Linked DNA regions of Lepisosteus oculatus. The protein of the gene in region 2 purifies or fractionates together with the protein of the main gene of each other region. This does not show direct contact. Links are inferred from orthologs where the notes say so. Each region holds a gene or a part of one and is shown on either strand. Other genes may lie near its edges. The genes, in order: foxa1 and nkx2.1.

Evidence for each region.
Region 1: the proteins of nkx2.1 (region 2) and foxa1 purify together in Homo sapiens (affinity purification with western blotting; 3 studies listed by BioGRID and IntAct, with this or other methods). This does not show direct contact. The link is inferred for Lepisosteus oculatus from reciprocal best matches to the Homo sapiens genes NKX2-1 and FOXA1.

The regions. Positions count from the first base shown.
Region 1 is NC_090703.1:4,616,537-4,633,432, forward strand, and holds foxa1 (hepatocyte nuclear factor 3-alpha), read right to left. Parts: upstream 6,039-16,896; 5' UTR 5,921-6,038; coding exon 5,849-5,920; intron 4,525-5,848; coding exon 3,274-4,524; 3' UTR 2,559-3,273; downstream 1-2,558. Other genes in the region: uncharacterized protein ttc6, read left to right, coding at 11,125-11,225, 12,287-13,508, 13,956-14,069, 15,054-15,266, 15,501-15,631. UniProt on the Homo sapiens protein: Transcription factor that is involved in embryonic development, establishment of tissue-specific gene expression and regulation of gene expression in differentiated tissues.
Region 2 is NC_090703.1:22,233,688-22,250,260, reverse strand, and holds nkx2.1 (homeobox protein Nkx-2.1), read right to left. Parts: upstream 8,970-16,573; 5' UTR 8,747-8,969; coding exon 8,380-8,746; intron 7,262-8,379; coding exon 6,588-7,261; 3' UTR 6,009-6,587; downstream 1-6,008. UniProt on the Homo sapiens protein: Transcription factor that binds and activates the promoter of thyroid specific genes such as thyroglobulin, thyroperoxidase, and thyrotropin receptor. Crucial in the maintenance of the thyroid differentiation phenotype.

The DNA.
Region 1 (16,896 bases), about 18 Mb from region 2:
AGCAGCCAAAAATCGTATTCAAGATGAAATGTGTGTATATTTTTAGCTGTTGTATAAAATAGTTAAGCAAATAAGGCAAATGTTTATGGTGTAAACACTTCCTGTGATATTCAATGTAATGAAAGACCAATACATATCTAATCGAATTTATTCTTTAGAATATTTATTTGACGTTTTCATGTATTTAACGAACAGCTGATTTTTCACAGAACCATTGATAAAAAAATTAAACATAGGCGTGCTTTTAATTAGACACAAAAATAGGTTTACCCGTGACATTTAAACAAAACAGATAAAAAATATCTGACGCGATCTCGACAGTTAGCTGCTTTAATTGATGAACGACTGTTATTCTACACAGACCCGGGGCAATCAGTTGTATTCTTAATACTGCAATAAATTATGAAATAAGTATATTTCACACTTCCGCTTTGTGAAATAATATAAATGTAATTCAGTGGATATAAACTACCCGCATGCGGTAATGAATTAAGATATTAAATTTAGAAGCAATTACAAATAAACCATCGCCGAGTCTGGATATAAGGTCTTCATCCTGTATTTTCCTAAACAGCGATGAGAGCGAGTCAGGGCAGCTGCTGAGAAACCCTTTGGCATCAGGGTCTCAGTAAATTTCGCGCATTTTCTGTCCGCAGAGTAAACTCCGGCTTCTCTCAAGCAACTGCTGTTGCAAACTTTTGTGAAAGTCCTTAACGGTGGACATGGAGAAAATGTGGTTTTTAAAGACATGCTGTACATAGCCTAAAAAGTTCACATCCCAAAACGCGGACACCTAAATATCCCAGGGCGAAAACCATCTGTAGTTGATGGTCGTTTTCCCTTTATAACAGTTAATTCAATTTAAATATGTTAAAAACGCTGGACGTTGGGAATCTCACGTAAGGTGCTACTTTCAGAGTTGCGATGCGTATTGAGGTTATTTAATGCCGAAAGTGTCACTTCACCTGTCGGACATTTTTTTTTAATTTTCCGATCGTGAATATCAAGCAAAGTGATACGTAAACGACTGCGCTATTCATGAAGTGCTTTGCTATCAAAAATCAACCATAACAATGTCTTGACGGCTTATTCATGAATATTTCCTATAATTTTTGTTTTAAATGCATATATTATCCTCTTTATTCTAAAATAAAAACTGCGTCATTGAAGCGGTATGTACATCACGCTATTTTATGTGAGTTTTTTATTTGTGGTACAAGAGTCAGACAACGAGGTGTTAAATTTAGAAAACGTCTTAAAATCTGTAACAAAAAATGAAATAAATAGTTGCGCCACGTAACTGACATGTGTTGCTAGAAGGTATGCTTGTCATAATAAGTTTTCAAACGTGAGTAACAAACATTCAAACTTTAAAGACATGCTCTGGTAACACAGGTTTTCTAAAAAAAAACGTATTTACCAGAAAAATAAATATTTCATTAAACGTGGGAAAACAAGATTTTGTCTTTACCCGATGATGTGTATTTTTTAATCAAAACTCAACGAACGGTTGACTTCTAATTTTAAAAATAATTCAACCCATGTCCCTTTTAATAACACAATTTATTGATAAAATTGAAACGTTTATCACAAAAGTACGAAACTAGAAAGACAATAAACGATACGCTTTTACACAAACTCTGTGTTTTTAACGGTGTTCAGTCCCTTCTCCAGATTAGACAGCTTTCCTAACTCAATTCACTCCATTTTATTTGCCCATCGGGGGGCAATTACAAGATAATTAAACGAATTTCATGGTTCCTCAGCCAAAGTGTGTGTCCACAAAATACCATGATCAAAGTAAAATCTGTTCAGGTTCAAAGTCCCTTCATGTAAGGTTACAAATAACAAAATGATGGTTTGGCTTAATATGATATTGTTGATTCCCCCGTTTCAAAAGGCCATGCGCAATTTCAGCTCTCCCTGCAGCTGTATAAGCAGTCGGCATTTTCTTGTTTTGTGTTTGTTTTAAATAAATCTTACAGTGGCGAAAATTTTTATTTTTGTTTGGATCGGTTAAGTTTTGTTTAAACGACAATTCTTGAAAACATAAAAAAAGGAATAGTCCGCTTTTTATCACAGCGGCGCCGCTGACGGCCGTGAAAACGATTAAAATTACACTGGCGGCGATTCACGTGGCTTTCAAGAAAGGTGTCAATTAAATCATGATAAATACAGGAAATAAGAAGGACTCGCACACGACCTGTTACTGTTCAGTTATCTTTGCGGTAATGTCCATTAACATGTGAAAAGGGGATCTTTCGCTCTTTTCAAAAGCCTATTTCATGAATCTTTTATCACTTTACCTCCCCAAGTTTATCACCACCAAAAGGATAATTTTGCTGCCGGGATATATAATAAAAATACATCTAGTTTTATTAACACTACTGAGATAATATTGTTTCGTGTAATATGCAATTATTTGTAACGCAGGTCGGGATAAAATAATAATAATTGCAGAAGTGGCGCGTTAAGAGTAAAATTTAAGGAGAACACCTACATGCCTTAAATATATATATAAGATCTTTATTTACATCATACAAGACACTGTGAAATAATTATAATGGTTATATAGATTTTATTTTTTAAAAGGAACATGCAATAAATTAAAACACATTTTGGCATCTACCAAAGTAAATATTTGTAACAAAATACAATATTGTTTTTTTTACGAGAATATGCATGATCCCACAAAAAGAAAGGTCAATTGTAAAATATCACAACAAAGACGGGGGGGTTGCTTAATATAGAAATGTGGGTTTTATTTCAGTTTGTGCATTTGACCACGGTGGATGAAATGCAGTTTCTTAACACAAAATTGTACTTTTTCGAAACGCATATGTGCCAAAGAAACAAAATTATACAACCAACGCATAAAAAATGACAACACAGATGACCTGAAAGGCTGAAACACAAAGATTGTGTGCTTTTTTGTTATTGTTGTTTTTTTTTTTCATTCAGCTTTTCCAAGAGACCTCACTGACCTTCATTTGGACATATTGCAACAAGGCTGTAAACAAACTTTGGTGCCGTCTACAGCTGGGGGGGGGGGGATGATACAAGCTCAAAAAAGTTTTAAATACACCTTTGCAGGGCGTCTGCAATGATTCTGACTTGGGTTATACAATCATTCAAAGGGCAGACCTTTACAGTATACTTTTTACACATACACATTTTTTGTACAATAAAGTAACAGTCCAAATGCACGAGGCGTGTGCAATAACAAAAGTGTGTTTTTCTTTCTCTCTCCAGTACGGAATAAAGCAGCTGAGACTAAGAGGTGTTAAGGACAGGTCTCGAATACACACCTTGATAGTAAGAGGCTTCTATTGCTGAAGGGTCCAAGCTGGCTCGTCCGCCCATTGAAGTACTGCCCAGCGGCAGAGTGGCTGAGATGCCAGACCCGTAGGAAGAGTATTGCAGAGCCTGCTCGTACGCTTTTAAGTCCAGTTTGTGCTGCTGCTCCGAAGAGGACATGAGGTTGTTGATGGAGAAGGGGTGGTTGAAGGAATAGTGGGGATCGCCCTTGAGGTGGAGCTGGGGCTCGTGGGCCATCGAGTGAGGGGGAAGGGGGACGGAGGCCAGCGCGCCGGCCGAGCTGACAGCGGGGTGGCCCTGGGCCCCGCCGGGCTTCAGCTCGCCGGCGGCCGTGCCGCTGCCGTGGTCCATACTGTGAGGGCTGGGCGGCTGGTTTGAGCTGGAGATGGAGCCCGACTCCATCGGGCCGGGTTTGGCGTTACTGCTCTCGCTCGAAGGCGAGCCGGAGCCCCCGGGCTGCTCCTTCCTGCCGTCCTGAGGCCCCTTCCCCCCGCCAAGCCGCTTCTCGCACTTGAACCGTTTCTGCCTGCGAAGGTAGCAGCCGTTTTCAAACATATTTCCAGAATCCGGGTGCAGGGCCCAGTAGGACCCTTTGCCCGGTTTGTCCGGCGACCTGGCCACTTTGACGAAACAGTCGTTGAAAGAAAGGGAATGCCGTATGGAGTTTTGCCACCTTTGCTGGTTCTGCCGGTAATACGGGAACAGGTCCATTATCCACTGGTAAATTTCGCTCAGCGTGAGCATCTTGCTCGGCGCCTGCTGAATAGCCATGGTTATAAGAGATATGTAGGAGTACGGCGGCTTGGCGTGCGGGTAGCTTCTCCTGAACGTTTTGGTTTCCCGTGCCCTGTTCAGGTTGGGCTGAGCGTAGGCCATGGGGCTCATGGCTGGGCTCATGCTGGAGTAGGGGGTGAGCGCGTTCATGGAGGCTTGCGGCGCCGGCATCGCGTTCATGTTCGACGGGCTGAGAGCAGCGCCCATGGCCGATACCCCGCTGGTCATTCCGTTCATGGCGCCGGGGCCACTCGGGGGCATGCCCGCCATGGTGCCGGGGCTCAGCCCGGCTCCGAGTCCGGTGTTGGCGTAGGACATGTTGAACGAGCCCGAAGTCATGTTCCCGCTGGTGGACATGCCCATGTAGGTGTTCATAGAGTTCATGGATCCGAGACCCGCGTTCATGCTGCTGTTCGGCACTGATGAGTAGACCTGTACAGCAAAGGAAAAACAAATATTTTTACATATAAAGCCCCACATTCAAAACCGCAGGAACCATTAAAAAAAAATAACCAAATCGTCTTTAAACTCGTATTTTTTAGGTTAAGGAAAACAGCTGTAGGCTAGTGCGGTTAACTCGTTTGTTTCACGTTAATGTTATATTGCGTTTAAGAATTAAAGATATTACTCAGTTCTTAAGTTGTTTGTGTAACCTGCACTTATTCTAAATTATCTGTTCAGACATGGCGTGTTGAACAGAAAACATTGATAACTACATGAAAAGAAATACATTACAATCTAGGGTAAAGAGGCGAGGACCAAGAACAGAAGTGTACAGAACTGAATGAATACATTTGAAATTGTTTTGCATATCATGTATAAATGTGGGGATACATAATAAGCACAAAAACGTCTCTGTCGTAATTTGTTCATTACTGAATAAGTCTTCCAAAAATATTACCTGTCTCCTCATGAAAAATGGCCTAAGGTTTCACGGTAAATTATTCAAAAACTACGGTGATTTATTTACATTTACTGAGCATTGCATTGAGAGATATTGCAAATGCTAGGACATTTTAATATAAGAATATCTGAATAATACTGGATGTGGATTTGCATAAACGCTAGTTAGATGCTAAATTATATTTGTTGATGGTCTGTTTCTTCCATTATGTTGTTGAAACCGTTACATATTTAGTGAAGATAAAATCTCTGCTTTATTTGGCCTGTTTCATTTTTAGATCCCTGTGAATTTCAACTGTGTGAAATCGTGTGTGTGCATATATATGTGTCACTGCTTCCTCTGCTGATAAAATAAGGTTAATTATCTTCCTATTGCGCACTAAGTATAGCCACGGTGCTGCGAGCCTGTTTTTATTATTTGTTGACGTTCCTCGATAACTTGTCTGTTAACAAATTAGAAATGCTTGTCTTCAGGGCCATAGAAAGTCACTCAGAGATCCGTGATGTTCAGGATCTGACCTCACTGCTGCCACCAAGCGTTTCCACAGAATTGGAACTCAGGCACGCTGGATTTGAAGTAAAAGCACACATATACAGTGTGAAAACTGAAGTTTTAAAATGATTCATTTAGCTCAGACACCCACAACTTTACCCGGAACCCCAGAGTCTAATTGTTTTTACTTGGTGTAACTGGAGAAAACAAACTAGTTTAAAAAGAAAGATCAGTAAAAAAAAATCATTTTAGTGAGGAACATTTCAGTTCTGTCTCTTTTTGACATTACTGATGCTCGGTTTTCTTTCTAAGCCTCATTAAATTTTGTTTCTATTTCCAAATAGAAAAAAAAATACTTACCTCTTGGGCTTCAGCGTAATAGCTGCTCCAGTCTGGAGTCTCGTGTCCTTCCATTTTTACTGTACCCAACATTATGGAGGAAAGCAGCAAAATGACACCATTCAAACTTCAAACCAAAAGTTAGAAGGATTCCGTTCAAGCGGTTCGTTCTCAATAGCCGCTCTGTGCAGCAGGATGGTGGAGGAGTGGGTAAGCGCTGAATCTGGTGTGAGTTAGGAGTTTGGCTCTCGGCTGTTACGTAGGAGCGGAACAGCCCACCTCGTTTTTCATTTGTCCAGATCCCATGTCTTTATCTTCGCAAAGGAACACCTACAGCTCCGCCAGCACACCTGCAGCGGTGTGTGGCTCGCTGCTGCTCCGACGGGGGTGTCGGCCCTCGTATTGCATTGAAAAACAAGACTTGAGTTTGTAAACTAGATCAACTACTTTGGACGGGCAGCGAAACAATACGAAAGGAGCCGGGAGCCGGATTGTTTATCACGATCAAATGAGAGAATAGACCTCATACTCCAATCAAGGGAGGATTAAATACTTTTCAGTAGAAGCTAATTTACATTGAATGGACAATACTATTTCTTCACAATTACAAGACGGCAAAGATATATATCATTTAGAAAGTATTTTTTAGCAAAACAAATGGACTCGAGTCTGTTATGAGGGAGTGTATAACTGGCGAATATGCAAGCACTCGTAATACAATGTTTAGTAGGCTTAACACACACACACAGTGGGATAGAGGTTTTCATTTTTAATCAAGGAAATTCTTTATTCGACCATGTTTTTTGGGGTTTTCGGAATTGGAAATGGGACCTTTTAAATACCCAGTGCCCGAAAAGGCTTGGTCTTGTGTTTGCTTCTTTTGTTTTACACTTAAAAGCATGTATACAGAAGGGCAAAACCGCAAAAAGCCACGTGAACGTCAATGAAATGGAAGTACCGCATTGACAAAAAGATCAAATTCCACGTTTAATATCCAAAGAACAATTCATGCTTTTTAATTATTACAGTTATCTGAAATGTACACTGCGAGGCATTATACAGTTCTCAGTGCTGCCTATTGCAAATATTAATTTAAAGCAGTTAATTTATTAGGTTTCTCTATTTTTATAGTTGTCATTTTGCATGGTAGAATACCCTTCTTTTTCGATACTACGCATTTTTTAAACTAAAAAATAAAACGATGTATTTTAAATATCACTAGACGTCTTTAAAGTTAATATAGTGTTAACTGTAAAACAAGCATTAAACAATATTATAACCAAAGCGTTTTAAAGACTTAACAGCGCCTCCTAAAGCAAAACAATCTATCTAAAACGCACCAGAAAAGTGTTTTTTTTTCTTACTATTTATAGTCTCGATATTAAAATCTAATGCCTTATAAACTGAATGGACAACTATCGCTCCGCACAACATATTAATCATCGACTTTTAAAATATGAGTTAATACGTTAATCGAGGAACAATAAATTATTTCTGCAATTTGGGTTTGCAGGTGTGTAGCATCATTTCTGACTAGGACACAGCAGGGCCGAGAGGCCTTCCGCGGACAGAAAGAGAATTTGGGAATGTCTAAATACTCACATAATGAAGCGATTTCAAAACGTCTAGCTTCTTACATCCTATAAAGTCTAAACATAGAGTTTTCTTACGGCCGCTTATTAAATACGAGTTTTAGGCAGCGTTTTATTTGTATTTCAAATGTTTTTTTTGTTTTCATTCATGCTGAAAACTGTAGTTCTTTCGATCTCAGTAAGCCTGCTGTACCGGAGGCGGCCATCGTGTGCTTGGAACAGGCGTCGTGTTAGCAACCTCTCTTAGTCCAAATCTCCTGCTTTGCGCACACTGTTTAACATAGGACACGGGGTTCTCTTTCTACTGTAAATCAATTTATGTGTGAGTAACAAGGGTGATTATCACCCGGGATAGGATTAGCTCCCAATGATCTCACTGTATGAGTGTGGAGAATCGATTTCAGCAAAACAAATAAAATATTTACAAGCCAGGCTGCAGATGTTAATTTTGCAATAGGCCTGGTAGAAACAGAATAACATATACTAAGTAAAATCGGGCTGATAGGTTATCCATGTCTATTATTTATCTGAATGATCGCAGACTTACGGTTGTGAATGTTTTATTTTATCTAGTTTCTTCTGCATCTGAAAAGTATGTGAAACCAAGTAATTTAAGGTATCGAGTTCGTTCCGTAGACTTGCGACTACGTGGGTTCTGGCGCTTGACTTAACAAACGCATCAAGAGCCGCAGAATTAAGTTAATATGCGTAAAAAAAAACTTCACGCAGCATATAAATCAAGGGATTTAACAATAGTTTTGTGCGACAATCCACAATACGCTTTTAATTAATTCTAATATTAAAGACAAGCTTTTGTTAAACAAATTAGGCTAATACTTATACATATTTAGATTTCCTAGTGTAAACATTGGAGGGCCCTGGTACAGAATAAAAATAAAACTGCCAGGCCTCTTTAAAACACTGGTGTTAAATCTAATTAAGCTAACAAGCAACCTTTATCTGGTTATTTTAATGGCAATCGTTTAAATAATATTCTAAGTGTTATCAGAGTAGGACAATACTGTTTTATCGTGGGCATGCCCAATGTTTGAAAGCGCAGTGTGCACTGAAAATCTTAATAAGACGCTTAAAAGTTCTTCGTGTTACAGAAGAAATATTTTGACCGCAATGCGACCAGAACAGAGCACGTAAGGTGAGGTTTGTTTCTGAGCGCTTTGAGGACCGGTTCACTGACTTAGACAAGCTATTCACGGAGACATCCTAACACAGGCTCAGGGCTTTGCTACATATGAATCCCAGGCGGCAACTTCGTACTGAAACTTCACAAAACCAAGCTCCACTTAGCAAACTGTTTATTCCCCGCCCAAAGTCAACCCATTCGTTTAACTTACCGATACGTTTATTTCAACTGAACTGGCTGGGACAGCGCAACAGGCGGTAGTGCTTATTGATGTTATTTCTTGGTTGCGGTTGTGTTTAGTGTTGTTTTTTTTTTTGTTTAGTACTGTATAACGTACGGCTTACCATCATAATTGATTAGGCGAACATAACATAACAGCCTCAATAACGGCAAGTCATGATATTATCACATTCCCGCTTTCACGAATTTTGTCGTCAAGATTAAACATCGAATTTTTATTCTTTATTATGGTTAAAATAACGACTAACTAAACGCAGTACTTAGGTCAATCACACGAGTCATTTGTTAGCGTATGTGTGAATATACTCTTGTCTAAAAATGCATCAATACATCTGTAATCCCATATAAAAATGTTTGAAAACATTTGATTGTTGCTGTAAGGTCACGCATTTTGAATTTACTTGTTTAGAACATCCATTCATCCCAATTCTCCTCCTCCTCGTTTTCTGTCTGGAATGATAACAATGATGTGAATAGGTCTATGCTCTTATTACATGTAGTTCACTGTAGTCAGGATGTCCTCTTGACCTCTTCAGTGCGTTGTAAATGTTGCATTTTATTAATCATTCTGCAACTTCGAAGGGAACGTGGAAGAAACGAAGCAAACGGTTTAATAATAATAAAAAAACGGAGTTTCTGTTCAGTAACAACCAGTAACCACACTGGTTCAGTAGGAGGCACGGAGTGGGTTGCGTCTCAGATAGTGTGGGCTTCGTGTGAAATCGCCTTCCGTGGCTTCTTAAACGCGACCGTGTATTGGATAAAGCGGTGAGAAAATGGGTGAATGTTTCGTTAAAAAACTCACATATATTACCAATAATGTCGATAGAGAGAAATAAAGGTGTCAGGACAATATAACACGTTTTCTCGATTCCAATCGAAACGGTTTTTTTTTGCGATAATTTTTGGAAAGTCCTTTAATTGGCAGTGTACGTGCCAGTACATATTGTTGCTTGATTTTATTCTTTCAAACTTGGATTGTTAAAACACATTAACTTAAAAAATAAAACTGATAATTATTCGTTGCTAACAAATTGGATTTCTATTAAATAGAGTAATAAATGACCTCTGTATATTAGAGCTGTGAAATCTTAATAGATCTGGTGTTTTAATGCCAATTTAACTAATCACGCTGAAGTCTGAATACATTTTTGAATATTTAGAAAGACACAGAGAAATGTTCGGTTTAAGTATAGCCCAAGAACTTCAGTAAAAAAAAAAGAAAGAAATTTGCGGTTAATTTGTCATTTAGTACAGGGGTTACCCGTGACATGGCCTTTCACGCTGTGGTGTGACAGGAAATGTGGACCTTTATGATGAATGCCCAGATAATTAGCATAATTTAAAAATGAGTGACTCAATAAATAAAACACGAGATTAGGGTAGGGTTTTCAGAGCCCTCCTGCGTGCCCAGGGCGTGGCGCGATTTTGAAGATCATCGACTGTCCGGTATTGCAGAAATCAAGCCGATACACAAAATGGAAGCAGTAGGCCTTTTCTAACTTTTTATTAAAAAAACATTTATCTCTGGCATAAATTATATATTTGAATTATTTTTTTCAGAACAAGACAAGTCCCAAACACTCATCCACCTGATGAGCTTTTTCAGCACCACGGACAGGTCTTCCAAATAAATAAAACGCCAGTCCATTATTCTGTTATTATTTTTTTTACAAATGTCCAGACGAAAGGTTTATGTTTTCGCATTTAAATTAATTAAGATATAAATTCGATTACAGGAACCTGAAGCAAATAGGTTAAGAAAAACTGGAAACTGTCACGATCTCTCTGGCGGTATTTATATCGGAGCTTTGTCCCCTATTAAAAAGGCCTACATTTTAAACCGGTCTTTTTCACCGCCCACGATTAGCATATCCCAAGGTTATATATCTTGGTATTTATCTGTTTTCTTATTTTGTTACATTATTACATCATCTACAGAGAGAGGAGAAAAACAAAACAGTCGGATGAATTTCAAACGTAGTATTCCGTGAAACGCACAGCAAATTCCTGTAAGATGTATTTAGAGTTTCCGACGCAGTAGTGGGAAATATTTTGTAATATACACCGAACCCTCGTTTTTTAAAAGAGCTGAAGGCGTATTTTAATGGGATCTAGAAAACAGTGTCTTTTCCTCGTATCTTCATTTTTTTTGGCCATAGTCCGAGCTCCTACTGTGTTCTCAGACAGTCCGGACTAATCAAACCTTTCCACGTGGGCCAGCGCCAGTTGTCTGGTTGCTAGGAGACTTGCTGCACTTTCTGTTTACTGCGCGCAGACATCCAGGCCTCCTGGACAGAAAAAGGCATAAAATGTAGTTATACATGCCGATACAGACGTACGCGGAGAGACATAACTTTAGGGGACGCAAGCAGCTAACGATTTCGAATTACTGCCCGAAAGTACTGCGCTTTTCAATGTCCAGGTAAGGTACTTTACAGGATTGTAAATATTCTTGAAGGAAACTGAGAAATTTGCTTTGATGCAAGCACTGGAGCGAAAAAAAAAAAAACCGAAGAAGGAATAGGAGCCACGCAAGCTCTGAACCTGCGACAGTACCTGCTAATGCCGGAAAAACATTTTACAGTAATAGAACAGTATAAGAGGTAGCTTAATCATAAACCAGCACAAGCTTTATTTGGATCCGGAGCCAGAGTTTGCGTTGTTAAGACTGGCGCAAAATAGGGACTAAAAATAAGATTAGATATGTTTGCTTAATCCCCGTTTTGCGCCGGTGCTTGCCGGCTCTCCCGCGACACTGAATAGGATGAAAATGGATGGATGTTTACTTAACTTTACTTAAGATGTAAACTTTTGCCAAAGCACGACCTGCTTTGATTTTCTTGCCCTAAATTAATCTATGAATATGCGTGTGGAGATTATTTCAGTGCTGCTCGGCATGTTCTGAATCTGCAAACTAGAGGAAACAAAGATTAATTGAAGAGGATGCACCCACAGTAGCCACAATATTGGGCAATGCAATGGACAGATGTGGGGGAGATCTCTGCTTCTCTAACTCCAGAAACGCTTCTTTGATACAATTCCAAGCTAAATATTTCTTATGCATTAAGAAAGGAAAAGTCTTGGTTGCTGTTTTTTGTCAGTAAATTGTTAACTTGCTGAGACAAATGTTTTCAAGAATAGTTATAGGGAAAAAGTATTTATAGACATATATATCTGTACAAACATTTTACAGGATTAATTAGTAGATAAGTACCAGAAAAAGTACCCAACTGGAAATACAGTACAGTACAAACTCAGCTAGACTGTGAAAGGCATTAAACAAGTGCAGAAAACACATGTATGTAGTCAAATTAAACAAGTACTATGTTTTAATAAAGTGCTTGAAAACAGTTGCATTAGACAGCTGTAGACTGTAACTCATAAAGGAACAAATAAAATGAAATCCAAATGCTTTCACATGGCTATTAATAATACTACTTCTTCAGCTGCTGCTACTAAATCTCTATATTTCTGTGTCTTCAGGGGTATAAGGCTAGAAAAAAACAATTTAAGTATGGCAGGAAATCAGAGGAAGCTGCTAAGCCATAGTGAAGAACTGAAGCTGAGAAAGGAGCTTGAGAGCTTACACAAGCAGTCTCAGCAGGATTTTCTTCATTTCAAGCAGATGATCAGCAATTCTTATCGAAATATGAGTTTCCCGACTGTACTGCTGGATTCCTCACCAGATCAATCCCATACGACAAACACTGAAACTCTCAGGGGACTTCACAGTCATCAAAGTACCCTTGAAAATAAAAGCACAATTATTTCTGGTAAGTTGTTTGGCCCAGACAATATTCAGGTAGGCATTTTGAAATCCCCAATTGCCTCACCTCCAAAAGAACTGAAGAAGGAAAGTGTCCAGAACCATATGGCTGGAAGTAAGGAGGCAAATCATCATGTACCTGTTATGAGTTTGCAAAGCTGCCAGAAAGAGTCTAAATATACTAGAAATAAAAGCCAAAACAGTGCAGCCCTGAAGCCCGCTATTGCTCAACAAGTGGGAACTACAAAAATTGTTTTACTGTCAAAACGACCTGAGCCACCTCAGAAACCCAAATCAGTACAACCAGTGACTCGAGGGACTCGGACCAGAGTACGTGCTCCGGTGACACCTGCTGCAGGAGAGTTGGGATCAGCTACAATGAAAAACCAGCTACATAGGAACAAGCGAAGAGGGACGAGTGTAACAGTTCCACAAGTCTTGAGCTCTGACAGTAGCGATGAGAGTGAAAATAATGACGATTCTCACTCCGAAGACTCTGACGAAAGTGTGCGCTCAGAAAGTCACCGGAAACACAGAGGAAAGGCTGGAAAGAAGAGGAGGAAAGTGGGGACGGAGAGCCATCCCTCTGCACGGCATCAGCAGCCAACATCTGTTGACAATGGAAACTCTGCGAGCCGGCAAAGCACCGTGGGATCCAGCCACGCTCATAGTGTGAGGTCTGCTTCAGAGCTGCTGGAGGAGGCTATAGACATAGCTAGAACAGATGCCTCAGTGAATGAGAAATACTTCCAGCAGAGACAGCCAGAAGGGTCCACGTTAACAGCAAAGACACTGGTTAGGGACAGTGCAAGAACTGTGGATGAAATATTTGCATCTCTGCAGTCCGGGAACAACACAGACTCCCTCTCGGCATCGGACCAGATGATCAAAGAGCTCATGGAGAGAGTGCTTGGCCACAGCTATGGTAGTGAATGTGAGGTAAGTCAATTGGAACAAGACAGGCGCTCAGGTCAACATCTTTTAGAATATGATATTACCGCGTGTTGTAATAGAGAAGATAGGAATAGGATACTGTTTCTTTTCAGTGCTTTTTGCTTCTTAATCTGCTGAGGATGACTTTTACATTGTGAGTTGTATGCTTAAATGTTTAGACTGTTGGGATGTTTTAAAAGCGTATTGTCTCTGTTTTGAGAATGGAAATGGTTTGTTTTGGAAATCTAAATCAAAAAGTTAAGCTGTTTCACCAAAACAGAAGACAGTATAAACCAATAATACGCTTTTCTATATTTCCTTTGAAATTTACAGTGCATACACCAAACATTCAAAAAATGTACGTCCTGCAAGGGGATTGCTAATTTCTTTCTTATGGTCTCGCACTTTGAAGGCAAATAATGTCTATACCATTTTCTTTTTGAAAATCCACAGGAAAGTGTTTCAAAAGACGATTCAACAAATGAATCAAAGCTGATAAAAAGTGAAGGACCTGAAAGGAGTGAAGCAGAAGATTTAAAGGAAGATGTCGATGGCAGGCCAGTGCAGGTAATTTAAACATTAAGTGTGTGCTGCATATTCTATAGTGAATAATTCTTCAAGTTTTCATGTTACTGCACAGCACCTAAATAAAGACAAAAGTATTTAATAAATATTTTTTTAAATAGATAATGTGTTATTATTTATAAAGTGATTAAAAAAACAACAGTTGAAGGGTGGTTGTTTTTTTCACGAAGGTCACTTTAGTGGTATCACTATTTCATTCAGACTGTAATGCCTATCATTATACTCCACTAATACAGGACTCTAAAATCACCAGCTGCTCCATTACTCCCCAGAGTTCTTCCTAAATGGCAACTCAAAAGTTTAACATAAAAGTGAGAACATATTCGACAGGCATTATTTTCACAGGGGATAGCTTTCTTAATTAGTTACCATGCTGTGGTGATTCTTATGTTGTCTTGTTAAGCCTAACAGCGTCCTGTTCATTATTTGGTTCGAGATCAAGTGATCTTTCTGTTCCTGCAATGCTAAAATGGAATATTAAGTAAATATTATTATATTTAGACTTGTAATTATTATTTCCAACCTTATATACTGTAGAAGATAGTTATTTAATTCAATTCTGGTGGTTACAAAGCACAAAAAATGTTAAAATTACAGAGTATTAGCACAACACTTGAACTGACAGATCGTGACTGGCTGCTGAAGAAAATACAATTGCAAATACATCAAGTGCTATGATTTCTAATAGTTACACATATGTGGATTTTTTTGTCATTGGAACATTCTCCTTTCTCATTTTGTGACAAAGAGTAAAGTTCAACAGATAAAAACAAATCAGAAAATGTTTCTATCACTATCATTTGAGTTTCTATCATTAAGTTTTAACTTAATAGTTTGATTTTGATGTACAAAATTGACGGTAGGTAATGAAGATACACAAGAATGTTCCTCTAACTCATAATGTTCCAAAACAGAAAACCTCTTGACTCACAGTAATTTATTAATGTTTAATGTTTATTTTGCCAGACTCCAGATGCGTTAAAAGATGACATTTTACATCAAAATATCCCCATGAAAATTATTCAGAAAAAAGATCCAGCTGGAGTGTCACCAGTTACACATATTTCATCTGATGTTTCCTTGGCATTCAAAGAAGGCTCTTCCCAGATTATGTCTCCAGAAGATTTTTCATTCGGCCAAGAGGATATTAATATTAGCGGAATAGAGCTTCCTAAACAGGTACAGTTATGTCATGTTATGTCATTTGCCAGACCATTTTATACCATAGGTACAGTTATATGATAATTAAATATTTCAGTGTACTACCTAATGCACTGGTTAACATTTCAATAAGTATGCTTTGCTTTTCCTTTATGGGAAAAATACATATAATTTTTATATATATAATTTGGAGATATTATTAAAGATTTCTGTTGTTTTGAGTTTGTAAAATCCTATTTGTTGTTGTTGAAGGTGACATATTCGGATATACTTCATGTGAAGGGACAGCGACTGTCAGCCACAGGCGAACAGCAAACAGCAATATGGAAAAGTGAACCAATGGAGCACATTTCCTTTTTGGCAACATGGACTCCAAAACTTCAGTAATATTTTAAAAACAGTACTGTTTATTTTCATGTGGATAATTCAAACGTTCTTACAACTATCCTTTTCTCATTTGAATTTATTGGTGCAAACACACATCTGTAAAGACCCCTCTTCAGTTTAGGTAACAGAGCTCAAATATATTCGCGTAATAGATGAACAGATCTGATGAGTCATTCTGTTTCTCCTTCGGACTTCATTTCTCGTTAAAAACTTTTTATGCATTTAAAATTTAAATGGCAAAAAAACAACAAAGCATATTGTATTAATCTGGCTTTAAACCCTCAGTCAGGTTAAGGGAAATTGATGCAGCATTATCTCCAGCAGAATCTTAAGGCAGTGTTTTTAGAGCAGAATCACAAAGCTGGCTCATACTATCTAGAATCGCTGGTTGCAATAAATGACCTGTGGAACCTATCACTGTGCAATCTCCTCTCCGAATTGGGCACTACCTTGTCGGCTGCCTGCCAGGAGCCTCTGAAGCTTTTAGTGAGGAAACCTTTTTGCAGAGATTTACAAAGTTTCAGTGATTCTGTTAATGACTGTGCTGTCATCATAACCTACAGCCCCTTTGCTAGCTTTCTGTGATAGAGTGTGTTCGGGAACAAGTCATTACTCAGCCTAATATACCTCAGGCTCCAATTGGTCTGCCTGGAGCCAGCTTGCAGAGAGTTGCCTGTTATGACTCTTCCTTGTGAATGGCTCTTTTACAGCCTGAAAGTGGTGAGCCGCTTTGACACACCTTTTCTATTCTCTCCGCCCTTTCTGAGGTTAAAAAAACCCTTTTAATTATTAGCTTTTGTAGCCTGTTGAGGTCAGTGAAAGGTTTTCAGGATACGGAAGAGAGCCTTTATAAGGAATTGCCTTCAGATTGTAAACGGATAGCACTCTCAACTGAGTAGCTTAGAGAACATGCTCATGTTAGAAGAATGCTCTAATTTATGAAATAGGCCAATTGGCATTTAGGTGACCCTTTGCATGCAGTTACTTATCTGCTGGAGCCTGTGGTTCATTTATAACCAACATGACAATAAATCATTGATTGATACACGAAAGTGAACATGTTAACCTCTATAAATTGTTACTGACAGTTTAGCAACAGAGCAAAAGACAGGAATATTTTTTTAGATTGTCTTCAGCATATTACATGAAAGGGCCACACACACAGTTGTGCCTTTGTTTGTCTTGTGTTTCAAAGGATGATGAAATGTTAAGAGGAAAGACATTTTGCACAAATAAACCTTTAACTTGTGCCAATACTATA
Region 2 (16,573 bases):
CATGGGGTCGTCCTCGGTAGTCAAATATTTAGATTGCTATTTGTTACAAAACGGATATAAAGCAAATAAAACTTCCAGTTTCCTAAAATATAAACCTGCATAGATTGATGTTGTTTTATATAAGCTTTTACTGTCACGCAGAACTTAAAAGAAGCTTCAGACCGCTTTTATTGTTTTTTTATTATTGTTATATAATAAAAACAGTTCCCTGAAACAGTTTGGTGCAATTCCAAAAGTTTGAGACACATTTTTGAAGGGAATGCGGCTTACAGATTTCGAAAGAATACACGAGAAAGCATTTCAGCCTTTAAGTTTCCATAAAAATGAATACGCTATGAAAGAAATGAAAAAATAAAAATAAAACAACAGCAATTTGTGTTTAAACGTAAAAACACAACACGGTTGCGTTACTGTGAACGTTGCCTAAAGCTACTTGTTGCCTGCTCAGTTTATCACAATTTGTGCAGTTCTATTCCAACAGTCTTCTTTCGACATCATTTTGAATACTTAAAAAAACGTGCAAAACAAGGTATCCAGATCGGCCTTTTTTGGGCTCAAATATACTACAGAGAAATGTCATTTGGTGCTTTTTCAAAAATACAGTTGTGCATACAGTATATGAAAACGTACCTTTTGTGAACTCCTGAAGTTTGTGAACTCCTTTAAGTTTACAAAAGTATATTCTCCAAGAGTCCTAAAGGATTCTGCAGCATTAAAATACGTGTGAGAAGCGTGTGAGGGAAGCACTGCCTGGGAAGGAGATGTAATTATTAATTTAATTCTGATGTTATCCAAATAACCTTTTTATTGATTTTGTGTGTGTTTAATAACCGCTATACACAGAGGCTATTTTTAATGTAACCCAGTACGCTTGGAATTTTGAAAGTTCCACACTTCGTATTTCTGAAAATACCCTCCATATTGGGAAACAATGTTAACGCTTCGCTTGATTGCCAGATTAACCAGTCCTTACAGTCCCCAAAGTTTTAGTCATTTTCAAATAGTCTGTAACTCCACCTCACCAAAAGCAAGACAATCGCAAAATCAAAAAAATAAATGACTTGCTAATACAACCAGACGTTTGCTTAAAGCAGGATTTTAATAAGATCCCTAAATGGAGGAACAGGTGAATTCTGAACTTGTAATTAGCTCTATATCATAATCATGTTATATATCCTGTATATACCTTATAGACCCGTGGATACACAGGCAAATACACGTATGTATATATTTTTTTCAATACTGAAACAAACGACGCAATGGCAATGTGCTTTTTAAAGAATAATTTGACAAAGGTAATACTGATTGAACAACTCTTAACCCTAAGACACAGCCATTATAATCAGGGCCCTTATTAAATTCACAGCACTTCACTGTAGGTTATATACCGGAGGAAAGCAACGAATAAGGAGTAGGACTTCAGATGCAGCTAATCGCCACATTTTAATCGTCGTATACAGGCTGTGAAGGTTCATTACTTCAACGGACACATGTTTTTAATTCAAGATCAAGGTATGTATGTATCTGGATATATGAGGCTTTAGGTAAACACGGAAAGCGGTGCAACTCCAGAGCCCGCAGAAACATAATGGTGGAAATGGAAACGGGAGTCTACTTGTGTGCCCTCAATCCCAATGGAAGGCTGCCATGGAGTCACTGAAAAAGGACCGGAGTCTCTGACGTGACCAAGTCCAGTTCACTGGAGCCACTTTCCGATGTGGGACTTTCGTAATTGACATTATTTGCTAGGTAATCATACCGAAGAAAACGCCAACCGATCGCACGATACCACGGTGACACAAAAGATAAATTAATAAAAAAGTAATTAGTGCCCCATCTCTTTTATCGTCGTTTATGTCTCGCCATTGACAGAATAAAAAAAAAGAAATCGTACTAACATCAAAAGCCATGACGTGCCCTTGTCACCATTACTTGGTATTTAATATACATGAATGTTATACAGTATATATAAACACGGCGTATCGCACTCGTAAATACATAGCAAGCCTTTAGTTATAATTTATTGGACATTTTAAACCAAAAGCGAGCAATTAATGTGGAGATAAAATATTAATTTATTTTACCACTATTGTACAATGCAGCGCATAGTAACGACATTATCCATGAACAGTCATCTTAAATGATTCATCTTCTTTAGGTTTCTTTAGTGTATTTTGAACTTTAATATCAAAGGACATATGTGACTGGAAGTAACACCGACAGGCTCCATGGGATTAAATAATTGCCTACATTCTGTTGGACATTCTGGCAAAATTTCGACAGCGGACTAAGGACCACATATAATTCAGCGTCCTCGTTTGTATCTCAAGTAACTATTTCAAACATCTTGATTTTCAATTCTATAGGAAATAATTTACAAGACGACGCGTCCGTTTTATTGACTATTTCTGTACTAATGATAACGTCATGACAGTCCTATCCTGCTCTCTCCTAAAACTAAACATCTATTGAAATGTTCTTAAAATGTTCATTGGTCTGGCCTGTAATAGGAACAATGATAATTTGGTACGCAAATTGCATCTATATGTATAAACACATACACTTTTGATAAATCCGAAAAGGGCTGCGAATAATGTGAGGCAATTGAAATTGATACAGAAAGAAAACACTTAGGTCAATAACAACGGAAATGAACCTTAATCTTCATGAACACTTTTGATTCTTGTCTAACATTACCTAATCGGGTATTTCGATAGATTTACTTTGCTCCGACTTTACAGGATGACATATGATATACGTGGCAGTATTTTAAAATATGTTTTTGTAAAACGAATGGCTAAATATTACGTTTAAGGAAATACATTGTGTTTCAAATATTGCGTGACAATATTGCCTCATTGTTCTCCAGGTCTAGTGCTGGAACAGAATTTTCATATGCGAACCGTAGATGATGCTCCCTGTTTCTAAACAGATGATTATTTATTCAAATACAGCCTAAACGTGGATGCACGTTTCACAATTATAATGGTGTATGTTAATAAAATAACGTATGATAAAGATTTTCTAAACAGTGTTATGTACTTGTATGTAAAATCATAATTATTTTCTTACAGTTAATCCTAAAAGGACCTTCGGTTGATACATTAAAAACCGTGTTTTGACTTATGGTTAACTTCTGTGATCAATAGTGCACACTGGTATCGGTTTGAACCTTTCATAAGGTTTCCTTTCTTAAACACGTATTTGCCTTCTTCTGGAATGTGCAAAAAAATAAAACCTCAATAAAATCACAATCTAAAAACCATGAGCTACTGTATTTCCTTTAGGTAGATATCGATAAATTTCTACTAAACATGCAGTTTCTAGCTGATAAATCAGGCGCTCAACATAAACGACAGAATTTATGGAATTCGTTTCTCGTCTTACATAGAGTTGAGCAGTTAATTCCGCGGACTTGTGAGAACTGAGCTGCCGCACTAGTAACTACGTAGTTGTGTCAAGCAAATATCAGCGTGAAACCCAAATCATAACATTAATAATCTCTTTCACACTTAATTTTAAATGTGCGATTTAGTTTCTCAAGTAGCTCGAACCATTCTCGCATCAATTAAGCTTCGCAGAATTACGCCACACAGTAAGTAAATGATACTTTAACACCATTAGAGAGCTCAAGACCCTAGACACTTTCTAAATAATGCATCGCTGCTGCCTCCGTTTAAACGATTTTCAAGGGCGATTCATCCAGTTAATAATTCCGATTAGCTGAGCTTTTTTCTCTACATCAAGACAACAAATACGAACTGCTCATATTAAATTAGGAATTGTTAGTACACTTTAACGAAGAGGTCGCCTGTACTTTTAAATTTAAGAAATACTTTTTGATTATGATTTAAACCATGAAGATTATTTACAAATAAAAAAATCAGTTTGTATTATTGTTAATTTCCAGTGTTTACATCTTTCTTGGCAGTGGAAGAGTGAAAACGTCATAATTAAAACACAAATAAATTACGTACACAAAATCCATGCTGTACAATTTTACTAATGAATTAAATACATAAATAATTCACACCTATCAATTATAGCTCTTTGAATGCGCGTATACTGTTTAAAAATAGTTACAAGCACATTTAAATATTGTTCCACTGCAAACCTGTAATTAAAATGCATTTTTATTACATTTTTTTTCTGAAAGCAATACTCTCAGTCTCTAAGCGTCAGGGATAGACAACATAGCAACAGTTCAACCTCACGATCAAAATATCACTGACGGCTTCTTCAGAAATTCGTTTCAGGCAGCCCATTAAATTTCAGATTCTGTAAGTCGTTAGAGGGTTTTTCCTTCTCATTATCCTTGTTTTGTGGTTTATACGTATGTGCTAAGTTATTGCTGGTTGCTTTTAATCAATTCTTTACGCGCACACAAAACTGACGTCCCAGAATCGTTGAGCCGATTTAAAGATTATACTTATGCGTCTGTGGATTAGAGACCGAATTCATGTGCAATTATTTTTGCAATATTCTCAACCTGCGTGTTGAGATTTAGACTTCTTTCAGTTTCTTAATATATTGAGTGTTTTACCCTTCCACATTTCCGCCAACAAGAGACAACCGATAGCGCACAAAAAATAGTTTATGAGGTTGTTTAAGGGCTATACGGTTGTTTGGACAGGGATTTGATTGATATGTAAATGCCTTTTGAATAGTGTTTATTTGATCTCTCCTGCACCAAAGAGCGGTGAACTCACCTTTACTGATTCGCAGGTACGCACACTTAAAGAGACGCCGCCACCACGAAAAAGTCGAGAGAGGAGTTTACCTAACCTAATCTAAAAACTACAAAGATAAGACACTGTGTACACAATAACCCATTAATATTATTATAGAGGTGGTTTGTACTCGCAAAGAAAAACGGTCAACCTGTTGGAATGTTTCGCGGGTAAAACACGGCGTTCCGAGTAGTTCTGAAAAATAATTAATGATTGTTTTAATTACTGTAATGAGTGAATGATTCACTTTACTGCAGATGTGAAAACACGAAATAAAAGTAAAACCTGGGACTTGATCTCTAACGTCGCCACCAGTTTGCATCGAGAAACAATTCAGATCAAGAATACATAATCCAGATGGAGAAAAAAAACTAAACGTCGGATATATATATTGTAACGCTTACGGCCGACAGGTACTGTGTAAGAGCCGGCGTACCAGAGCAGGTGACCTGAGCCCCCGTTGCGTTACAATATATAAATAATACGTAGGAATAGCCGAAGAGTTCGTTACACGAGCTGGCACCGGCGGACCGAATTTCTTTCATGCTAACGATAACCTTTCACAGAATCGAACAAAAGAGCAACTAAACGCTGCATTCGCAAGAGAGACATTGCCATTGTCATTTACTCGAATCCCCATCATAACATCAACATTTTAATAATATCTGAATTCGTGACGAGCCCTACAGCCTGATCCATGATCACTACTGTTTGTGGACTTTGAACAGCCCTAGACGGCAAGCTATAATAGTAAACCTACGTCTAGCTCTGTTTAAATAACATGAGTATACACTTTTTTTCTTTTTGCTCGTGTACTACAGGGGGACTATTGCACTATTTATTAAATTCATTCCACGGCCGCATTGGGCCCTTTCAAATATTTAGTTTTCCCACACGCGCACACACCTTTGGCAAATGCGTTTTTAAGTCCTATCAGACCAAAGGCCAGTAATTTTCTTCCAGAAGTCCACCGATAACCCACAACTACGCAAAATTTTTTAGCTTCCAATGGTAAAGGCAGCAATTTTTGTATTTCAGCTTGCCAGTTATTATTCGATTTTTGTCACCTGTGCTGTCAAAATAAATTATTATGTTTGTCCAGAATTTTTATTTGAATGAACAGCCAATAAATTGCATTTAATAATAGTGTATTGATGCGGTATCTTTTTCCTGGTGCTCTAACGAGCATTAATGACATCCACTTTACGCTCAAGTTCAATAAAGGAATATGAATTTTATTTTCATAATTTATTAATAGGTTTGTATGACTATATTTATGCCAAATATCTATATAAGTTACAAGAAAATAAAACGTACGCGGTCAAATAACAGTTAAACTCAAATATAATACAAGCAACCTTCCAATGGCGATAAAAACTTTATACAACATAATATACAGTTTACTAAAAACTATGTATCCAATCCAAACCTTTTACAGAAATATACAGCTACGTTTTACATTAAAATCTATTAGAAATCGGAGCCACGTTATATTACCCCTATAAAAGTCTTTGATAGCCCACACAAAGGACGCGTCTGATTTAGGAATGGACTCGCTCGTTATTTCCCCAACACAAAATTGTATTTAAATGACATCTTCCTCGGCCACGTTGGCTCTAATAGTTAAAACTGGTATAAAAGAATATGGGATTGCTTTTCCCTATTCAACGCGATGTGAATACTTCCCACCTCCACGGGACTTTCTAGTTTGCTGATTGACTCGTTACCCCCTTTTTTAACCCAGTTAGTCGTCTGCAAATCCAACTGAAAGTAAATAGGATTTACTTTTTTTTAAAAGACTTTGGAACTGCAGCAATGGCTGTCCGAGTTTACACAACAGTCTGCGGCGGGGTTATGTCACCAGGTCCTGCCGTACAACAGAGCGGAGCAAGGCATAGCGGTGCCATATTCAGAACTAGCAGAGTTTAGGTGAGACAAACCGGACACCTGGCTCTGAAGAGACGAGGGGCTGGCGGAATGTTGAACTAAATCTGGAGAATGGCCGGCGCTGCCTGCTTGTTGGCTCTGATGCTGTCCCATCGCCGTGGTGCTAGTGGAAACCGTCATAACGTTACTCCCTTGCTGATGATGACTCTGGATGGCAGTGGTCGGTGTATTTGTGCCTCCCTGGCAGGGCTTGCCGTCCTTGACTAACACTGGCACAGCTACTCTTCTGGGAGACTGCTGCTGCTGCTGGCACGAGCTGGAGTCTTGTTGCATCTGTTGTTGGCTCACCTTATCTTTGGCTTGTCGTTTCATCTTGTACCGGTGATTCTGGAACCAGATTTTGACCTGAGTCGGCGTGAGGTGGATCATGCTGGCCAAGTGTTCTCTTTCTGGGGCCGAGAGGTATTTCTGTTGCTTGAACCGTCTCTCTAGCTCGTAAACCTGGGCTTGAGAAAACAGCACCCTCCGCTTTCTCCTCGGAGTGCTCTGCAGTGGGCCCATGCTCTTGCCGACGTCTGCCAAAGAACCCAGGCTGCCCATGCCACTCATATTCATTCCGGAAGATGACCCCATGAAGCGAGAAACTGGAGAGAAGAGAAAGGCGTTAGCAAATAAGAAAACAGAAAAAAAAACGCCATGCCTTTCTCCCAAGACGCCTCACAGTTTAGAAACGTTTCTGAGAATAAAAGTTCGCAACCACTACGGTAACGTTGGTTTCCATAGTAAAAAACAAACTAGACCACACAAATAAATTGTTTCAGTCACCCCTTCTGCGTCTGCACTGTTCATATTCTGTGTTTGAAAAATTAGAAAAAAACGTTATGCTCTCTCCTTTTCTGTAGTTTACAGAAAGTCCATTTTGCATAATAATAATAAAAAAAACATTCACATACAAAGTCGTCGGTTATGATAAGTAACAACGAGGTTTGTCAGTAGGGTTTATTGCGGCTGCTTTTTCGCTGTGGGCAATACAAAATCTTGTACGTAAGGAATACTTGGAAAATCGGATATAATACAATTATCATAATACAAATTTGAAAAAACGAATCATTGAAATCAATGATTTGACACGGTGTGTTAAATATAAGCGTCCTACATATTACTGGCTGACAATTAAACTAAAATGGAAAAACAGTCATGTATAAGTTATTTTATGTGATTCAACGCTGCAATAGGCCTTAGTATACAGGGAAAAAACTCCCAGCAAAAATCTGAGGGATGAAAGCAAGAAAGACGACGGAAAGAACACACAATAACAAAGAACACCGAAGTACATCAGTGACAACTCTGTTAATTTAAGTACCTCGGTGCAATTTCCATTTTTCGAAAAGACTCACAAACTATAAAATACTGAAATTCCTAAGAGTAACACTGATTCAGTCGTTATATGACTGATAACAAATCGTTCAGTGCGTATTCCTGAGATTCATTTTGAAAACCAAATCTGACTATGTAAATGGCGCAAAATGGTCACATTCAAACCTCCCTGAGAGAAACCCGCAATTCCATCTATTTTATTTAGGTCATTTTGTTCGGTTTTGACATTCCACAGATACAACGAGTTTATCACTTTGATGTTATCATGAGTTGAAATAGTTTTCTTTATACTATTAGCGGTTCCTTCCCGAAGTTTGACCGGGTGTGCGCTGGGTGCTCTCCATCATCTGCCCATATTAATTAGTCAGACTCGAGTTCCACTTACTTGTAGAAAAGCGCGGATCCGGATTGGCTCCGTACCACCCGGTGGCCGAGGTGCTGTTTCTCATGGTCTCCTGGTAAGGCGGAAGCTCGCTCATGTTGCCCAAGTTGCCGTTGCAGTAGCCCCCCATGGCAGTGTGAGAAAGCTGGGGCACCCCCGCGGCAGCCATGTGGTAGGTAGCGGGCACAGTCCCGTTGTGCCCCATGTGGTGTTGCTGCATAGCCGCCTGAGAGACCTGCGGTTGCCGGTAAGCTGTCAGGGGAGCCCCTAAATTGTTGCCCTCCATACTTACTTTCTTGTAGCTCTCCTCAAGGGGACTCAAGATATCGGAAACAGAGAAAGGAGTCGTATGCTTGGGACTCATCGACATTGTTCTGTGGCTGGAGGGGGAAAAATTAGAAGGCAAGGCAATCTTTTTTTTTGACAAAGCCCTGTTACTGCTGTCTCAGCGTCGATCTTGTTGGATGAACACGTAAGAGAGTGGCTGAAGTCCGCCTTAATTGGATTGAGTGGAGGCTCGGGGCTTTCTTTCGTTTGTTTTAGCTAGGCGCCAGGTTTAAGGCTGCCACCAGAGGCGGGGCGTAAGCAGCCAGGGCAACAATACAAAGAAGCCCTATCCACATCGCTCCCCGGCATAATTAGCTTACGTGCTGATCACAAGGTAAACACCTTTAAGTTTTCCCCTTGTCAGAAATGTGGTTGTGTTTTCTGCTATGTTAAATGATACGGGCTGCCTAAATGCTCCGTTGCCGATCCTTTGTAAACTTTAGTTTGTGGTAAGTGAAAGTTTGTGCAAATGGCGTTCTTTTAAAACGCAGCTCCTGCATTCAGCACAGATCCGAACACGTGTGGATTGCATTGTCAAGAATATCCAAAACCTGCAGTGTGTTAGGCGAGGAAGACATCGATAGAGAGAAGGTTTCCTGTCTCACCAATTTCTCGGTTTAAGAATAAAATTCACTTTAATGTATCTGTATACAGCACTATTATTTCCGTTATCTCCAGTACCCAGATTCATAGCCCAAGACTTTTGGTTAGGTATGTTCGTATCAATCTATCAAACTTATCTGTTCTATCAATCTGCATACAAGTACACAAACACTATATATACATAAATAAAAATGAGTAATGACTTAAGAGTTTAGGGAAACCACTTAATACTGGAAACAATTTCAAAAGCTTCGGTTGAACCCCTGACTTTTAATGGATCTGAGAGCCATCCAGTGATTGCACTTGTAAACCGTGTTTGCATTATGCTTGATCGTACTTAGAAATGCAAAAGTGCACTTGCGACTGTGGAGGAAAAAAAAACCCTAAATATCTCCTGGTAAAGTGGTTGCGTAAATGATTGACCGTATTGTGACTATGTTTGATATTAGGACATAAGGATCACTTTGCTTCAATTCAGAAGTCCTCATTCACCGGCCAAGAAACCCGCTCAGGAGAACGAAGGTTTCGGTATGAGAGTTAACATCAGCGAAGTAAAACCCTCCGGCGGTGATAGCACTTCAGTGCTCCGGGAGAGGTGAGCCCACGAGCACACGAAGCTCGAGGAAGCAGGGAAAAATAAAGACAGCCCCGCGGGTTTCTTTAAATCTTTCGGGTCTTGTCTGTGCATTGAAAATGGGCAGCAACATTTGTTTCTGTTGGAATCTGAGATGTTTCGAAACCTGTTAATTTTGACGTTAAATCATAGGATACAAAATGATTTATGGAAAGAGAGCAACGATCCAGTACATGATCAATTTCAGTTACGCATCCAGTATAAAGAAAATCAGAATTACCGTCAAAAATTGGAGGTTGTTTCAACGATGTTTTGATATAATTAACCACAACGTAGCCAAATGGTATTAAACTTCACCTGATGTGCGACTTGCGGAATCGTTTTATACAGGTTTACTTTAACGCAGTCGTTGTTTAAGAGAGCTTATTATTTTGTTGAAAAGCGCAAAATCGAGTTATACTGCATTTTGTTTTCGCCCGGTTCTACTAATTTATTGATAAGTTAATTGGTTGTCAGGTTCTCAGTTCAGGGAGGGGTAATTTTTCTTCGATGGAGCAATCCCTGAAGCTTATGGAACACGACTTTTACTAGTTCAATCAAGGAACCCCAGAGAGGATATACAGTACATCAGTCACCTGCTCGAGGAAGCTGAAAATGGAAATTTAAAGCGAGATATACAAGTTCCAACACTTCTGTGTAACTTTTCTCCTGTTGCAGGTGTTAAAATCAATACTAATTAAATTAGATACCCCACTGAGAATGAACGCATATATTGTGTATGGGTGTTTATAAAATGCTGGATTATTTAGAATTGCTAGCAAAGAACACAGAGAACAACAATACAGAGGAAACGCGATACCTAAACTCATAAACCTATTAAGATAAGTATAGCAGTTTTGGGTTGAAATCAGCGAACACTAACCATTTTTATTTTTCTAGGACTGGAACGATTTCTTGAGGCGTGGAAGATCTACGTTTAGGGAAAAATTACATTACAGTGTTGATTTAACTCAATAGATTATTGTTCCTGTTGCTGTGCCGTTTTCAACACTTTTTGGGTGTATATAGGAAGGGGAATACATTGGTACATAAAAGGGAGTTTAAAATGCTTTAACCTAAGCTCTAAACTCACATAGTCAACATGGTGTGTAAATATAGATCTTGGCAAACATTATATAGCATTTATATGTAATCATTTCAAAGCACTGACAGCTGGAACTGCATTGTGTGCGAGCAAATTCAGCAAATTCAGACTCTGCCATTAAAGAAAAAGATTCGTGATAACTTCTGGAGGACCTTTAAAGAAAATACTCTATAAACAGAAAAATAACTTTGGTATGGAAAATACTGCACCATTTTAATTCCGAATAATTTATTGAATGTTATACTATAAATATATGGAAACTTTATATAACATTTGATACGATGCATGTTATATTTCAGGGTTACATGAATGACAGTTTAATTATCCCGTTTTCGTTATCTGAACAGTTAGTTTTGTCAAATTACACTGAACATTTTCTTCCAGGAAAGATTATTATCAATACCTTTGTGCTGAATTCTTTTCTCACAAAGGAGGGGGCTGGGTTGGAGTTAAGGAGGACCGATGACACCACTACTGATGACTAGACTGAAATTCCCCAGTGTAACTAGTCATCTTTAAGGTCAACTGATACCCTCGGTCGTCTATGTTAAATGTTATTCGTGCTAGATTACTAAGCATCTCAAAATACAGACAGAAGGGGCTTCAATGGTTTTCGGGTGATTTAATAATACCAATGCTTCGGCTACGCACGAGATACAGAAGAATTATTACAATAATATGAAATCCTGTAAAGTTTTGCAGTAATATAAAATGTGAAACCCATAGCGACAGAGTTTCGCGTATTTTTCTAGTAAAATAAATATCCACAGAAAATAACCAAGAGCAGCACTCGTGTCGAACTACCAGTGATTCCGCTACGACTACTACCACATTCATCAAAAAGTATAATACATCCAGGGCTGCTTAAAAGGAAATAAAGGTATCTGCTTTATTAATGCTCGACATTTTGCATGCGCTACATTTAGTTGCTATAAACCTAATGCTGGTCAACACTGAAATACGGTTTGTGATTTTTGCTAACGAAACAATTTTCATGGCTAGGAAAGTATTGTTAAGAAATGTAACTTTTCACAAAATAAGCAAAAAAAGCATAACTAATTTAACATAATATAGCCGGTACGTTATTAGCCCTTTTTCACTTTGAAGAGAAATGGTGCAGATGAGAAGGAGAGTCTTTATTGTATGCCTGAAAACGCAAAGGGCCTAAGCATCCGAAATTCCCGAAACATCTGCACATAAATTTGCATTGCGCTTGTCAGTCGCCAAATTCTAACTATACCAATGAATCTTATTTCTTGCGTGTGCAAACACTCATCACACAATTAAGAGTAATTAAAATATTGTCTTAATGGCTTACATTCATTAAATGCTATCATGCAATTCCTTGTTACCTTCGGGTTTTTTTTTTCATTAAGGCCTAAGACGGCCACATACTGTAAGCAGTAAAGGTGAAAAATTACTTAACACGTCATTCATTAGTCGAATCATACTGTTATACTCTAGAGCATCTTACTTTTCATTATAATCTTTATAAATTTTGCAATAGTATCGGTAAGAGCAAAATGTTTTATGAATACCGGTCAATATTTCGTTATTTTGTATTAGAAGACACTGGTATAACTATTAAAAGAATATTTAAATTGTAGTTGTTTTTCGCATTAACAACAGAGCGTATTAGGCAACAACGTCAAAGCATTTAAAATTAAATTAATTTTTAATGTAGCTTGTGCATAGTTCTATTTTTGGTGTAATCGATAGATGATAAAACCTCTACATAAGCTCGCAATAAGTAACGATTATGGAACAAGCTTATGCTTAACGGTATATCGGGTACTTAATACAAATGCCATAATGACACAGGTCCAGTCTTTCCTATACGATATTTAGAGTATATCATGATTTAAAAAAAAAGTAATTGGCTTTTCGATATTTAAGCAAACCAAGACAGATATTTAATTGTGCTCCATATATGAAACAAAAACGACAGGTAAATACATATTGTACACATTTATCTCTGGATAATGAACAAGAGGTGGACACGTGCTTTCATTAGTACTGGACTACTGTTTAGAATTTTGTAGTTTCAGATACTTCCAACAAGCCAGAGAATATCATTCTGAAACTCCACGAGCAATATATATATACCAAACAGCAATTTATTTTATTTAAAATAAGTGGTTAAGCAATTAACCTGGGAAATTGAAGATAATATAAATCAATCTTCAATGTAAAAAAATAGTATTTTAAGAACAATGTTTCCCGCCTTACTTTTGAGGTACAGTTTCAGTACTGTTTGTATTAAAAACCGGTATATCTCATATACGAGACCAGCCAAGGAATGAAAAGATAGGCGCCATGTAAAATAAAGATTATTACGAGCCTGTCTTTAGAATCTTGCTACGTCGCACGATTCGCAAAATTCTTTATTTAAAACTCCTTCTACTGAAAGAGGTCGTTTTTATTCAGAGTTAAGAATAAGTATGTATTCTACCATTGCAAAAGCTTAGCTAGTGGTTATTTCTGAGAAATCGCAAGAGCCCTGCACTGACTGAACGTGGATGATACATTCGATGGAGTTTAAAACACCGAACTCCAAAAATGGTTTAACTGAAACTATTCCAAACCTTGTGCTTTGGAGAACGTAGCCTTGATGTCGTTAAATTTGGCAGTAACTGGAGTATCTTAAGAATGCTCTTTACTGCTCACTCTCCCATGCAAACACACAGTGTGTAGATACTATTGCATGAGACTAATGCAATAAAAGTGATTCTAAGACTCCACTTCTTTGGAGGAGAGAGATTGCTTGATGTCTCTGTACGTAAGTTGTCCGTTCAGCCTCAGCCGCCCACAGCGCAGTTAGTACTCTTGCTAGAAGACGATGAGGTCATTCTGCTTCAACCAGCTCGCGAGATGGATGGAGGGAGGAATTTTTTCATTGTACTTTATTGTTTAAAGCGTTCGTTTCTTGAACTAAAAAGACAAATGGTCCCGTGCCAGAGGGAAGATGATATTACGTGCGATTATGAAAAATATGCTTATGAACTTTGAAAAAGCACTATTATTGTTGCTGTATAAATTGTTGCCAAACAAAGGCTTGGACTATAACACAGAACGTGTCATTCTTACACAGTAACAAAAACATTACTCACGTTTATATAAACGTGTATAAACATTTAAATTATGATGTTTTTGCATACTTTGAAAGAGAAATCTCTAATGTCGTTCTCCTCCAATGTGTAGAAGACGTTTAAGCATAGCTACAGAATCATAATCATGCTGCTAAGGTCTTTTCAAAGACATAACTAAGACAGCAAACAAGAAACAAAATTCTCCGTAAGGTAACGGAATTGTCATTTATAACGTGACATGTGGTTGAAGAATCTATCGCACCAAATGATCATGTTTAAAAACATAAATAAAAAAAGGCAAGTTTTCATTTGGAGGGATGGTTTATTTCAGGTCGATGGTGTATAAAACAATCATCGTTCGAGCAGGTTTTTGTCAATGAAATTGTGGGATTTACAGATATTATTATAGAAAGACACTTAAGATAACGGGGATCATTGCTTTAACAAAACTATGAAAATGTGTATTTTACTACGGCAGACTGGAATGTTTCAATCGTTAAAAAGAGCTTTACAGAAAAAAAAGTTTTGTAAGTATGGATGATTTTGAGATCCGGGTAAATGGACGCCTAAAAGGATTTTTAAACTACAGGACAAGGAGATTAAGAAGGTTCAGAGAACGGCTACTTTGATTTTTTGGACATTTAAAAGACATATAACGACCTCTGCTGGGGACATAGTGTAGTTTTAATATGCTCTGCGCTGTTTGTTTTGCAGAGATGAAGATTTTGCCTTTCTGTCAGTGTATTGATAGAATATTGCAATTAGTTGGTTCTCTTTAATTCACAAAGTCAACTCAAGTCTGTGCCATTGTACTGTCTTCCATACAATTTCTAACCGCTTCATCCAATTCAGGGTCGCGGAGCATCAGGGCGTATCTCGGCAAGCAAGGGAGGCAGGTTACAACCTAGACGGGACGACCACAGACACACACAGACTCCCGCCAGGGACAATTCCCCCCGAAAACAGTACGTCGTTAAATTGTGTGTAAGAAAACCGACCTACCAGGAGGAAGTGGGCGGAGCTGTGGCTCTGTGGCTAAGGATTTGCACCTGTGGCCGGAAGGTTGCCGGTTCAAATACCGCATCTGCCAGAGGAATCCTACTCCGTTGAGCAGTCTTAACCCCAACTGCTCTCTCATGGAGAGCAAACTGGGGTATACAAAAAGGCGAATTCCTAATGCGAGAAATTGTATAGGGCTAATAAAGCGATGTTATGATGAAACGCATACGGGCAAGTGGAAAACACACAAACTCCACGTCCCAGTGTTGTAGACAGCAATACTAACCACCATGCTGTCCAATATACTATCATCCTAGGCACAAATTCACATTTAGTCCTCCTACCCTTTTGTCTCGTCCTTTAGTAATAACACGAATTCTATACATAATCAGAAATATAATTCCATATTAATTAATAAACAGTCTTCCTTATATCCTCCAGGGATATAATATCCAGGGATCTGAAAGCACATATCTGGGAGTGGGTCCCAACTTTGGTCCAGGTGTGGGTTTTGTTCAACAGTTAAGTTATTCATCACAGCCTAATCGATTTCAGTTTTCTATTTGGCTCCGATGTATAAAATTGCTTTCAGCTGTTAAAAGAAACGGTCAAATGTGATTTGCAATTGCCATCAGCCCTCTACCAATTTCTGAGTTTCAGAGCTGCCCTCGTCCAGGTGTGCGGCCTGAAATATAACCATCTGGAACTGCGGGAGGAAACCGTCTCACTGTAGGTAGACGTCTCTGGTACAATCTCATTCCCGCCTGTGCCTGTCCATCACCTATTGATAATCTAGTAAGAGCTGTTTACAGCTATAACACAAATAGAAAACTGAACTAAATTAGCCTGTGATTAACAACTCCGCTGGAGCAAAAACGTGCTGAATCAGTGCTCGGGGTTGGAAATCTCTGGCCTACATGTCGAAGAAGCATTTGTGCCGTTTATTCGCGTTTTCTTAATGTTAACTACTGAGGTTTTAAAAGAAAAGAGTAACTATAGTTATAATTTACTGTAACTACATTTTACTAATTGTATGTACCTACCGTTTCGACTATACCATTATAATATTGAATTAATACATTTGATCTACTACGGAGCAAGCAACGTTTAATTTACCACTGAAAAGTATAGGAATACCAACATTTGACCATTGAGCTTTTCTTTACGCTGCAGACAAACGACAGAAAATGTATGCCTTTCTTAATACTTATCATCGTGGAATTAAACTCTACTTAATCAGTTAAATCAGTAGTTATTGTCTTAGGAGACGGTAAGAAGATTTAATATTGCAACGCGCTGATTTGAGCAAATTCACATCAGTCACACGTAGACTACAACTGAGTAACACTCTCAAATAACCGAGATATACAGCTTCTTCCCTTAGAATCAACATATTGAAGAAAATAATATAAATGTACAGACCAGCCCTCATGTAGTACGTACACTAACCCAGAGGGAAGG